Caenorhabditis elegans: one gene and its partner. The protein of the gene in region 2 purifies or fractionates together with the protein of the main gene of each other region. This does not show direct contact. Each region holds a gene or a part of one and is shown on either strand. Other genes may lie near its edges.

Evidence for each region.
Region 1: the proteins of mnat-1 (region 2) and xpb-1 fractionate together in Caenorhabditis elegans (co-fractionation; one large-scale study listed by BioGRID). This does not show direct contact.

Annotation. Positions count from the first base shown.
Region 1 is NC_003281.10:11,524,983-11,529,862, forward strand, and holds the start of xpb-1 (General transcription and DNA repair factor IIH helicase/translocase subunit XPB), read left to right. Parts: upstream 1-1,674; 5' UTR 1,675-1,699; coding exon 1,700-1,802; intron 1,803-1,856; coding exon 1,857-1,957; intron 1,958-2,310; coding exon 2,311-2,421; intron 2,422-3,306; coding exon 3,307-4,236; intron 4,237-4,880. Other genes in the region: Y66D12A.16 (Spen family transcriptional repressor), read left to right, coding at 1,313-1,479.
Region 2 is NC_003280.10:2,472,912-2,480,767, forward strand, and holds mnat-1 (CDK-activating kinase assembly factor MAT1), read right to left. Parts: upstream 5,701-7,856; intron 5,442-5,700; 5' UTR 5,438-5,441; intron 5,419-5,437; 5' UTR 5,418-5,418; coding exon of another isoform or gene 5,410-5,417; 5' UTR 5,366-5,409; coding exon 5,277-5,365; intron 4,453-5,276; coding exon 4,246-4,452; intron 3,531-4,245; coding exon 3,417-3,530; intron 3,355-3,416; coding exon 3,264-3,354; intron 2,601-3,263; coding exon 2,346-2,600; intron 1,428-2,345; coding exon 1,335-1,427; intron 1,281-1,334; coding exon 1,197-1,280; 3' UTR 601-1,196; downstream 1-600. Other genes in the region: F53G2.12 (Complex 1 LYR protein domain-containing protein), read right to left, coding at 5,410-5,417, 5,701-5,896, 6,097-6,165; F53G2.3 (uncharacterized protein), read left to right, coding at 7,488-7,518, 7,565-7,668.

The DNA of each region.
Region 1 (4,880 bases), on a different chromosome or scaffold from region 2:
TATAATATTCTTGAGAAGCATCATCCGAATTTAAAATGTGTGAAATTATGAAATTTGACCGAAAACTGAAGGTTTTACAGGAAGGATTCGCTACGGCTTTCTTTAAAATGTATCAGAATCGTCAGTTTTTCGATTTCAGTCGTAAAATATGCCATTTTGTAGAGAAAAGTCTGTTTCACAAAAATCCATGTTTGACATTTCAAAATTGTTTTTATTTAAAACCTGAAAAATCGAAAAAATAAGCTTTTAAAGGTGGAGTAGCGCCAGTGGGGAAATTGCTTTAAAACACGCATATGGTACCACAATGACCGAATATCATGATAAAAATTTTTTCTAGATTTTATATGATTTTTTGAAAATTGAAAAAATCTCAGTTTTGCCTAATTCCTATTTGAATTACCGCCAATTGGATTTGTTCGATGGAGCGCGCTTGCACGTTTTTATTTTTATTTATTGTTATTTTTTCTTATTTTTCACCGACTTTTCATGTTTTCAGTGTATTTTTGTCTGAAATTTGAAGAAAAAGTCAAAATAAATGCTATTTTTTGAAATTAATTAATTCGGGTTCGAAATCGCTTAAATGCATTTTTTTAATTTAACGCCTGTAAGCGTGCTGTTTAATCGAAAATTAGCATTTATTTTGACTTTTTCTTCAAATTTCAGACAAAAATACACTGAAAACATGAAAAGTCGGTGAAAAATAAGAAAAAATAACAATAAATAAAAATAAAAACGTGCAAGCGCGCTCCATCGAACAAATCCAATTGGCGGTAATTCAAATAGGAATTAGGCAAAACTGAGATTTTTTCAATTTTCAAAAAATCATATAAAATCTAGAAAAAATTTTTATCATGATATTCGGTCATTGTGGTACCATATGCGTGTTTTAAAGCAATTTCCCCACTGGCGCTACTCCACCTTTAAAAGCTTATTTTTTCGATTTTTCAGGTTTTAAATAAAAACAATTTTGAAATGTCAAACATGGATTTTTGTGAAACAGACTTTTCTCTACAAAATGGCATATTTTACGACTGAAATCGAAAAACTGACGATTCTGATACATTTTAAAGAAAGCCGTAGCGAATCCTTCCTGTAAAACCTTCAGTTTTCGGTCAAATTTCATAATTTCACACATTTTAAATTCGGATGATGCTTCTCAAGAATATTATAAAACAAAAAAATAAAAATAATTTCCTATAGAAGCCAAAAACTGCTGTCCCCGCGAAACGAGTTCCCGCGAATTCTGGAGTTCGTGAGGTGCCGCGAGAGATCGCGTTCTAATAATTATGAACAATTTTTTTGTTAATTTCAGCCATTTCAGCCGTCGAAACAGTCCACGAAACTATAAAAATCGAGTCTCGCCGCACCGTGGCCTGCGAAGGAAATGTCTATTTCGAAGAAACGAACGTCATTCAATTTCCCAAAAATCTGCCGCCCAACGTACACGTGATCACCGCCGCCCAATATGGATCGAATTAAATGTTTATTTATAAATATTCGTTTTTTTTTTTGTTTTTTGTTTTATTATGAAAGTCTAGTGAAAAGAACTAGCTGTTTTATAAATTTATATGTCTCCCCTCTGGCTCCTCTCCTGTGTCTGCATATTGTCGTGAATTTCGCTGTATTTGCGTACTTTTTCTCCCCCGGTTTTCTTCCTTTTTTTTCGTATTTTAGACGAATTTTCAATTTTCCAAAAGAAATGGCGACGAAAGAGCGAAAACGACGCGGAAAATGGGATACCTACAAAGCAGAAGAAGCTCCATCATTGTATTCTGGAAATGCTGACAAGGAAACTAGTTCTGGTAACGCGGGGCTCTTTTCCTGGAAATTTTCGAATTAAAAAATTAAATTTTTAGTTCCAAAAGCTGCCTCGCACAATTTGAACGGAGAAAATGCGTCGTCAGTGATGACTGATGAGTTTGGAGCCAAAGATTATCGAAAGGATATGCCATTGAAAGTATGGAGAAGCTCTAAAAATTCGAAAAAATGGTCTGACAAGCTTGAAAAACCCAGAAAAATGGCAATTTTTACAATTTTTTGGCAAAAAAACCCTAATTTTCATGATTTTTTCACCCAATTTTCAGTAAATTAACGATTTTTCCCCCGAAATATCGAAAATTTGGTTAATTTCCAGGGAAAATCGTAAAAATTACTTTATTCTAAAATAATTTCGGTCTGAAAAATGTAAAAAGTTACGAATTTTTGCTATTTTTTTTTGTTTTTTTCGGTCAAAAAATCGTTAAAAAACACTTTTTTTCGAGTTTTTCAACCCAAATTGGCAAATTTTAATTGAAAATTCACAATTTTCAGGGTGATTTCACTGCAAGACCGCTGTGGGTTGCTCCGGATGGTCATATTTTCCTCGAGTCGTTCAGCCCGGTTTACAAGCACGCCAGGGACTTTTTAATTGCAATTTCAGAGGTTATTAACGTCTTTTTTCAGTTAATTCTGAAAAAAATTCATTTAAAAAAATTTGATTCATCTGAAAAGATTTATTTGTAAAAATTATGTTTGGCCAATTTTTTTTTGATTTTTTAATTTTTTTTTCCGTAAAAAATTCCAAATTAGTGCTTTTCAGGTCAATTTTAGAGGTTCAGCACTTTTTTTTCATGGAAAATGACTGAAAATTTGAGCCTAAAATTAACAAATATTAAATTTTTCCAAAAAAAAAAAATCGAAATTCTGATTTTTCAATTTTTCGATTATCTCTTACACATATTGCCAGAATTGAAAATTTCCGACAAATCGTCAAAGTGTCGGGATTTAAATTTTCCGGCAAATCGGCAACTTGCCGGAATTGAAAATTTCCGGCAAATCGGCAAATTGCCGGTATTGAAAGTTTCCGGCAAATCTGCAAATTGCCAGAATTGAAAGTTTCCGGCAAATCGACAAATTGCCGGAGTTTAAAATTCCGGCAAATCGGCAAATTGCCGGATTTGAAATTTTCCGGCAAATCTGCAAATTGCCAGAATTGAAAGTTTCCGGCAAATCGACAAATTGGTGGAATTGAAATTTTCCGGCAAATCTGCAAATTGGTGGAATTGAAATTTTTTGGCAAATCGGCAAATTGCCGGAATTGAAAGTTTCCGGCAAATTGACAAATTGCCGGAGTTTAAAATTCCGGCAAATCGGCAAATTGCCGGAATTGAACGTGTCTTGTAAATAGCTGATTTGCCGAATTTGACATTTCCGGCAAATCGTCAAAGTGCCGGATTTAAAAAGTCCGGCAAATTGCAGAATTTATCGAGAAAAAAATTTGCCGAACTGCAATCGCCACCCATCCCTGCTACATATTCCAATTTTCAGCCCGTCTGCCGTCCACAACACATCCACGAATACCAGCTAACTGCCTATTCTCTCTACGCAGCTGTATCAGTTGGCCTACAAACAAAAGATATCATTGAATACCTGGAACGATTAAGTAAAAGTCAACTGCCAAAAGGAGTCATCACATTCGTTCAAATGTGCACTGTGAGCTACGGAAAGGTTAAGCTTGTGCTCAAGCATAACAGATACTTTGTCGAATCGCGACATTCCGATGTTATGCAGAAGCTTCTCAAGGACTCTGTGATCCAGTCGTGTATTCTAGATGATCGTGTGCAACCTGCTCAGCAAACCGAGCTTCCTGCACAGGAAAAAATCAAATTCTCACATGGAAATGAGAATGAGAAGGGTGTGGAAAAGGATGGAGCAGCAGCAGACGGTACGGCGGCGGCGGCGACAGATGGAAAAGTTCCAGCTGATATTGATGAATTCTACGGGAAAATCGATGGAGATGATGAGGAAGACGCAGAGATTCGAAATTTGCAACTTCTAACGTTTGAGATCAAACAAGAAACGATCGAAACAGTGCAAAAACGATGTATCGAGCTTGAGTATCCACTGCTCGCCGAGTACGACTTCAGAAATGACACTTTGAATCCGAACCTTGGAATTGATCTGAAACCATCGACTACACTTCGTCCGTACCAGGAGAAATCCCTACGGAAAATGTTTGGAAATAGTCGTGCGAGAAGTGGTGTGATTGTTCTGCCGTGTGGAGCCGGAAAGACGCTTGTCGGAGTGACTGCTGTGACGACGGTTAACAAGAGATGTTTAGTGTTGGCGAATTCCAATGTTTCTGTCGAACAGTGGAGGGCTCAGTTTAAGCTTTGGAGCACGATTCAGGATAAACAGCTTGTCAGGTTTACTAGAGAGGCGAAGGATCCAGCACCGTCGGGAGCCGATGCGACCAAGGTTGGAGTGGAAGGAGTGGAAAAATAATGAAGAATTTTAGAGGAAAATCTGAAAAAAATTGAAAAATTTTCGACTTTTAGATTTTCTGAAAAATCGAAAAATTAACCATAAAAAATAATTGATGAGAAAAAAATTAAAATTTTTTCAAAAAATGAAGAAAATTTCGAGCTAATTTTTGAAAAATCGAGAATTTTCGATTTTTCGATTTTTGAATAATCGGGAATTTTCGATTTTCAATTTTTTGAAAAATCGGGAATTTTCGATTTTTCAATTTTTTGAAAAATCGAGAATTTTCTATTTTTCGATTTTTTGAATAATCGGGAATTTTCGATTTTTCAATTTTTTGAAAAATCGAGAATTTTCGATTTTTCGATTTCAATTTTTTGAAAAATCGAAAAACCGACACCCTTGGTCAGAGTGCCTCATTTCGGTTTGGTCTACGTAGATCTACAAAAAATGCGGCAGAGTTCTCAACCGATTTCGCATGGTTAACAACGTGTGCTTACGTCACATTTTTTGGGCAAAAAATTCCCGCATTTTTTGTAGATCAAACCGTAATTGGACAGCCTGCCACCACGTGAAAATCGAAAAATTGGAAATCGAAAAAGGAAAATTTTTAGATTTTTTTTTTCCAAAAATCGAAA
Region 2 (7,856 bases):
GAATCCCCAGGAAATTTGAATCGGAAAATCGAAAACTAGAGGTTTCTGGCTCAAATTTGAGTTTTCGAGGGTTACGGTAGCGCCAAAAGTACGCAAACACCGAATTTCACGAAATTTTTGAATTTTGAGTTGAAAACTGAAGTTTAAGACGAGAATTGGGCAAGAAAATTGAATTTCAAATCAGATTTCACAAAAAATCGCTCAAAATTCGAAAATCGGTTCAAATTCGGTGTTTGCGTACTTCTGGCGCTACAGTAACCCGGGAAAATTCAAAATTAAGCTAGAAAGCTCTAGTTTTCATATTTTCAGGCTCATTTTTTGTGTAGAATCCGAAAATCCGGCGTACCGATTCCTGAAAATCCTGCAAAAAAAGTTGGGCGGGCTGTACGTCGGGTCCTCCGCTGTAGAATGCGTCGATCGCTCGACACACCGTTTCCATAGAATCCATGTGATTTTGTTCTGAAAATTAGAGGAAAAATTGAGAAATCTTCTGAAAACTGTTAAAAAATCGCTGAATTTGAACAAAAAATTGGGGAAAAGACGAGAAAATCGATAAAATTTGGTTAAAAAACCCAATAAAATCCAAATAATTGAAACAAAATTTGAGTGACGGAAAAATCGTTTAATTTGTAAAAAATGAGGAAAATCTATGAGAAAAAAGCCTAGAAAATCAGAAAAAATACCAAAAAATGGGTGGAAAAAGAGCACAAAATTTGAGAGAAACTGGCCAAAAATAGGGAAATAATGGGAGAAAAATGCTCGAAAATGAGCAAAAAATGGACGGAAAATCTACAAAAAAATGGTCAGAATTAGGGGAAATTAGGCTCAAATGAGCAAAAATCGGGGGAAAAATGCTCCAAAATGAGCAAAAAATGGTAAAAATTAGGGAGAAAAAAACTTAAAATTCAGCTGAAAAAGGCCGAAACTAGGGAAAAATTAGGGGAAAAATTGAGAGAAAATGGACGAAATTTAGGTTAAATAGGCTCAAAAAAGAGCAAAAAAATAGAAGAAAAAGCTCACAAAAGAGCAAAAAAAATGAACAAAAAATCTACCAAAAAGGACAAAAATTGGACGAACAATCTATCAAAAAATGTTCAAAAATGAGCAAAAAATGACCAAAATTCAGGGAAAAAACGGCTCAAAAAAGAGCAAAAATGCTCAGAAATCAACGAAAAATTATCCGAAAAATCAATAATTTAGAACGAAAACAAATCGATTCGAGCCTCAAAAAGAGCACGTGAGCATCCGAGCATTGGAGTGTAGCCGCCGGCAATGTATTCCTGTAAATTTTCCAATCTTTGGCTGAAATGTGGCCGAAAATCGCTGGAAATTACCGCAGTGGGCTGTCGAATGTGAGCCAGATAGCCGAGAGCCTCGATTTCCGAAACATTTGGCATTGGTGGACCATTGATAACCAATTCGAGGGGCTGAAAAATTGAAATTTAAAAAATTTAAAGATTTTTCCGACTGAAAATCAATTTTCAATAGCAAATTCGAATTCTCCGCAAAATTTTGCACTACACCGCGAAAACTAGGCCTTTCTAGCTCAATTTTGAAATTTCCCGGGTTACGATAGCGCCAAAAGTACGCAAACACCGACTACAGTACCCCCAAAACACCCGATTTTACACGATTTTCGAATTTTGAGCTGAAAATTTAGGAATAGACTAATTAAATGGCAGAGAATTCGGATTTCTTATCGAAAATTCGTTAAAAATTTTTTTTAAACCGGCTAAAAGTCAAAATTTCAATTTCCAGCAGAAATTTGAACGGCTCTGCAAATTTTCATTGTGGAATTCGAATTCCTCGTCATTTTATTAGTCTAATCCTAAATTTTCAGCTCAAAATTCGAAAATTGCGTCAAATCTGGTGTTTTGGGTTACTGTAATCGGTGTTTGCGTACTTTTGGCGCTACCGTAACCCAAGAAATTTCAAAATTGAGCTAGAAACCTCTAGTTTTTGCAGTTAAGGGTGAAATTTTGCGGAGAATTCAAAATTGAGCTTTTAAATTCGAAATTCCGATATCCAGATCCTATTTTCTAGGATTCTTTAAAAAATACGAAAATTCCGAGGTTCAAATCTTTTTCTGCAAATTTTCATTGTGAAATTCGAATTCCCCGCCATTTTATTAGTCTATTCCTAAATTTTCAGCTCAAAATTCGGAAATCGCATAAAATCGGGTGTTTCGGGGGTACTACCGTAACCCTCGAAAACTCAAAATTGAGCTCTAGTTTTCGAATTTAAGACTGGATTTTCACGGAGAATCGGAAAATTGACTTGAAAATCTGAAATTTCGAGTGGAAAAGCTGCATTTTTTCGATTTCTTCCGAATTTTCATGTCCAACCTGGTGAACATAAGCCCTTCCGGCAACACGAATGACCGTATTAAACGACATATTCTCGGCGGCACGTTTTCTCGTCTGTAACATCTCCTTATTTCGGCGTTTTCGTTTCTCCTGTTCCTCCTTTTCCTCGAGTTCCTTTTCGATTTGCTTTTTACGTTCCCGATCCAGAATTACTTCGGCCGCCACATTCGAATCGCGAAGTTCGTCCATAATTTTCCGGGTGTCTGTGACTGCGGAGGCGGCTTCTTGTTCTTTCTGCAAAAAAAAAAATTGAAAAAATTTCAAAATTTTTGGAAAAAATCTCAAATTTAACAAATTTCCCTATACATAATCAAATTCCCCACAAATTTCACCCTTAACTGCAAAAACTAGAGGTTTCTAGCTCAATTTTGAAATTTCGCGGGTTACGGTAGCACCAAAAGTACGCAAACACCGAATTTCACGAAATTTTCGAATTTTAAGCTGAAAACTTGAGAATAGACAGAAAAAATAGCGGAGAATTCGAATTTCTAAACGAAAATTTGAAGAAATCTGTTTAAAGTAATGAAAAATTGGAAAATCTCAAAGTTTTTGTAGATTTTTATGGAAAATTCAAATTTGAAATTGAAAATTCTGAAATTTCATTATCAAATTCGAATTCCCCGCCATTTTCTTAGTCTAAAACCCAATTTTCAGCTCAAAATTCGAAAATGACGTGAAATTCGGTGTTTTGGGGTACTGTAGCCGGTGTTTGCGTACTTTTGGGGCTACCGTACCCCTCAAAGTGTCAAAAGTGAGCTGGAAACCTCTAGTTTTCGCGGTTCTGACCGAAATTCGACGGAGAACCTGAAAATCATGATGATAAGCTGGGTTTTTATGGATTTTTCATCCGAAAACTGGAATTTTTTCTAATTTTCGTCCAATTTCCCCAATCCTAACCGCGTCCATCTCCATATGATCCGTCATTCTCGCCTTCATCGCTCGCTCCTCACGAAGTTGGTCTTCGATCCATTTCTGATCGTCATCCAGTCTGGAAAAATCGGAATTTTCAAGAATTCGAATTTTCACATAAAAAGTTGCTCCGGGCGGTACCTTCGCTTGTTCCGATCGATTTGCTCTTTGTGCTTCTCCTCAAACGCCTGAATTTCGGCATTTGTCTCGTTGACGTTTGTCTCGAATACGAGGTTGTAGACGACTGTCTCGAATCTGAAAAATTGAAATTTTGAATTCGAGGGGCTGAAAAAATGAAATTATTGAAAATTTTTATAATTTCGGAGCTGAAAATTGTCTGAAAATCAATTTTATCTCGCAAATTCGAATTCTCCGCAAACTTTCAGTCGGAAAACTGAAAACTAGAGGTTTCTAGCTCAATTTTGAAATTTCCCGGGTTACGGTAGCGCCAAAAGTACGCAAACACCGTCTACAGTACCCCAAAACACCAAATTTCACGCGATTTTCGAATTTTGAGCTGAAAATTCAGGATTAGACCAAGAAAATGACGGAGAATTCGAATATCTTATCGAAAATTCGTAGAAAAAATTCTTAAAATTTTTGAACCGTCTAAAATTCGAAATTTTAATTTTCACTGGAAATTTCAGCGGTTCAAAAAATTTTCTGCAAATTTTCATTACGATATTCGAATTCTCCGCCATTTTCTTAATCTATTCCTAAATTTTCAGATCAAAATTCGAAAATCGCGTGAAATTCGGTGTTTTGGGGTACTGTAGTCGGTGTTTGCGTACTTTTGGCGCTATCGTAACCCTGGAAATTCCAAAGTTGAGCTAGAAGGTTCTAGTTTTCGATTTTCAGGCTGAAATTTCACGGAGAATCTGAAAATTGAGCTGAAAACACTGGAATTTCAAGTTTTCAGGCATTTTTTTCCGTTTTTTCGCTCAAAATTCGACGATTTCTGCCATTTTACCTCTCCTGATAGTCTCCAAACTCTCGAAGATTCTCAAAATCATCCTGTTTCAGATTATAGATTTTTCTGAGTTTTCTTCGGAGAAAAGTCTCCTTATCGATAAGTGGATCCTCGTAGATTTGTTCTCGGAAATTATTTTTTCGAAGGACCCGGTTGCAGACGTGACAGTTGCCAGAATTCAATGCGAAAATGTTGTCCACACAGTTTCTGAAAAAATCGCAAGTTTTTGGGGTGGAAAATGAAAATTTGGGCATAGCTTCCGCATCCCCGGTGACAAATGTGCCCTATTGCACAAATTGTTGGCTGGAATACGGTATTTATTGCATGTTTCAGCCGAGAATACCAACTATTCAAACCATCAATTATGATAGAAGCACACAAGTCACAAAAATTTATGAAGTTTTAGGGAATTTATTGGAATTTTTTGGAATTTTGAATTAAAAATACCAGCTTTTTCTAAATTTTTTTGAAGAAAATCTCAAATCCTCGAGGTTATTTCAATTTTTTTTGGCTAAAAATGCCAATTTTCGAGATTTTTTTCTCGACAGACAGCGTTAAATTCAAAATTTCACAGCACGCGTTGCGGTCGCGTCGCGGTTCTAGCTAGAATTTTCAAAATTGAGCTAGAAACCTCTAGTCTTCGAATTTCCGACTGAAATTTCATGGGGATTCCAGTTTCTGAGCACAGAAAATTCGAAAATTTACTGAAAACTTGGGAAAATCGTTTTTTTTTGGGATTTCGGCTTACAATTTAAAAAAAAATGAGAGAACCCGCTATTTTTAGCGGAAATTAGTTGAAAATTGTGGAAAAATCGGTTTTTTTCCGCCAAAAATTTGCCAAAAACTGAGATTATTCTAAACTTCTGCCATTTTCGGGCTAAAATGTCGAATTTTTCCAAATTTCCAGGTAGAAAACTCGCGATTTTGCGATTTTCACGGATTTTCACGGATTTTCACGGATTTTCACACTAAAATGTCGGAATTTTTCCAATTTTTCGGCCAATATATCGATTTTCCGGGCGTTTTCTCACTTGCAAAGCGGGTGGCCACATTCATTGATCATCATGACGAGCTGCTTGTTGGTATATTCATTAGACTTGCATTTTTTGCACTCCTTCATCTTGAAAATGGAGTTTTTGGTGGATTTTTGGGTTGAAAGTGGAGTTAATGACCTGAAAAATGAGAAAATTTGGATTTTTCGCTAAAAAAGCAGGAAAAATAGAGGAAGTTAGGCGAAAATCCATGAAAAATGCATATTTTGACGCCGAAATTGGTGTAGATCAAAAATTTGCCAATTATAAGATTTTCGAGAGGAAAATGTTGAAATTCCTTGATTTTCAGCGATTTTTAAGCAATTTTTCAGCTAAAAAATTGGCAATTTCTCAATTTTTTGGGAAAAAATCCCAGATTTTCACGATTTTGTCCATTTTTCGCCGAAAATTCCAGAATATTCACCGATTTTCTGCTCCACGATGGTCTTATTGTGTGGATAAAGCTTGCAGAAGATCGCTTGACGTTTCAGCGACTCCAGCTGCTTCTGACCCTCTTCGTAGAGCTTTTTCTGCTCGGTGACGTCACAAACTGCGCGATTTGCGACAAAGTGGTCACGGATACGGCGTTGGAAGAACGATCTGTAGTTGTACTGTGGGATCTGCAAGAAAATCGGAATTTTTAACGGGAAATTGTGGGAAAAATCGAAGAAATTGATTTTTTGAGGTCGAAATTCGAAATATTTCGAATTTTTCTCGAATTTCGTCAATTTTTTGTTGATTTTCTCGTTTTTCAGCATAGTTTCCGCATTTTCCAGCTTTTTTCAGATCAAAATCGCCGAAAAACCAGCCAAAAACCAACTTTCTCAGCCTCCTTCTGCAATTGTTTGTAGAGGTTGACCCAGGCGCTCTTCGGAATTGCGGAGCTCATGAAATTCACTAACCCTGCAATTTTAGCTACTTTTTCTGTGAAAATTTGCAAAAAAATCGGTGAAAATCGAATGAAAATCGCTAAAAATCGAAGAATTTCGTTTCAAAATCCGTTGAAAATAAGTGATGCGCGTCGGGTCTGGTGTATTGTACGCAAACACCACAGACAAAAGATAAACATTGCGGACTTTTGCACACTTTTGCACAATTTTAAGAGAAATCTGCATTTTAAAATAAAATTAACAAATAATTTATTGAAAATAGAAAAAATTTGAATAAAAATTTTCAAATATGAGGCTAAATTCAAAGTTGAAAACTGAATTTCAGGCGGTTTCATTGTCATTGGAAAAAGTTCGATTTCATCTTTTAAAATTATTTTCCAGATTTTCTAATCCTCATTTTCGATGTCTACACCAGCTTTATCAGCCTACTCCGGAGTTTTCAGACAAAACAAGTGAAAATCGGCTGTTTTGGGGTACTGTAGTCGGTGGTTGCATACTATCGGGGCTACCGTAACCCTCGAAATAACGACCGGTAAAAAATTGTGGAAAAATTGGGAAGAATCGAAAAAATCTTATTTCTTCTTTATTTCTCTTATTTCTAAAAATCTATATTTGCACTTGCAATTCCTACTCCAGGCATATACATATCCATTTAAAAGCTCTAATTTTTCTACGTTGATTTTGTTATTAATATTTGCCCTTTTACCGGCAAAAGTCATACCCGGCAAAGCGGCAAATCGCCAAATTGCCGGTATGGAAAATTTCCGGCAAATAGGAAAACCGCCAAATTGCCGGTTTTGAAAATTACTGGCAAATCGGAAATTCGCCAAATCGCCGGAATTGAACATTTCCGGCAAATGGGCAAATTGTCGGAATTGAAATACCCGACAAATCGGCAAATCAGCAAATTGCCGGAATCGAACACTTTCGGAAAATCGGCAAACCGGTAAATTGTTGGAATTGAAAGTTCCGGCAAATTGGCAAATCGGCAATTGCCGGAATTAAGAATTTCGGGCAAATGGGCAAATTGTCGACTTGCCAAATTTGCCGGAAAACTTTCAGAATTTAGTTTTAATTGGCAAATTTGTACGCACCCCATGAATGCTTCTATGTACATCTATAAAAAATCCCTGAAAAAAATTCCGGCAATTTGCCGAAATTTTCTGGCAAATCGGCAAACCGGCAAATTTCCGACTTACCGAATTTGCAGGAAAATAAATTTTGAAATATCGCGTTTACGCAAACTTTATGAACTCTGAAATAAAATTCCCTATAAATACAAACCACCAAAAGTTCAAATTTTAGCTTTTTCAACTTAAAAATGCTTAAATCAATTATCCTCTTGATTTGCGGTGAGCACTATTTTTTGAGTTTCCCATTTATTTTTGGCTTTTTCAGCTCATTGTGCATTTTCGGATAGATTGGACGCTGGAAGTCAGGCGGATTGTGTGGCTGCTGCCAATAAAATCTACAACAACGAATGGGGATTTGATCATAAATTGGTACATTTTTCAAGCAGTTCAATAGAGCGCACTTTCACACTGAATAGAGAATTTTATAATCTACAACTTAGTCTCTTGGATCAACTTTCTAGAATGTCGTTAAAAGACGTTATGGCGAAAGTGCAATGGAGCGCACTTGCACCATGGAAAATTAAACCAGCTAAACTAAAAGTCGCGTAACTTTCTGC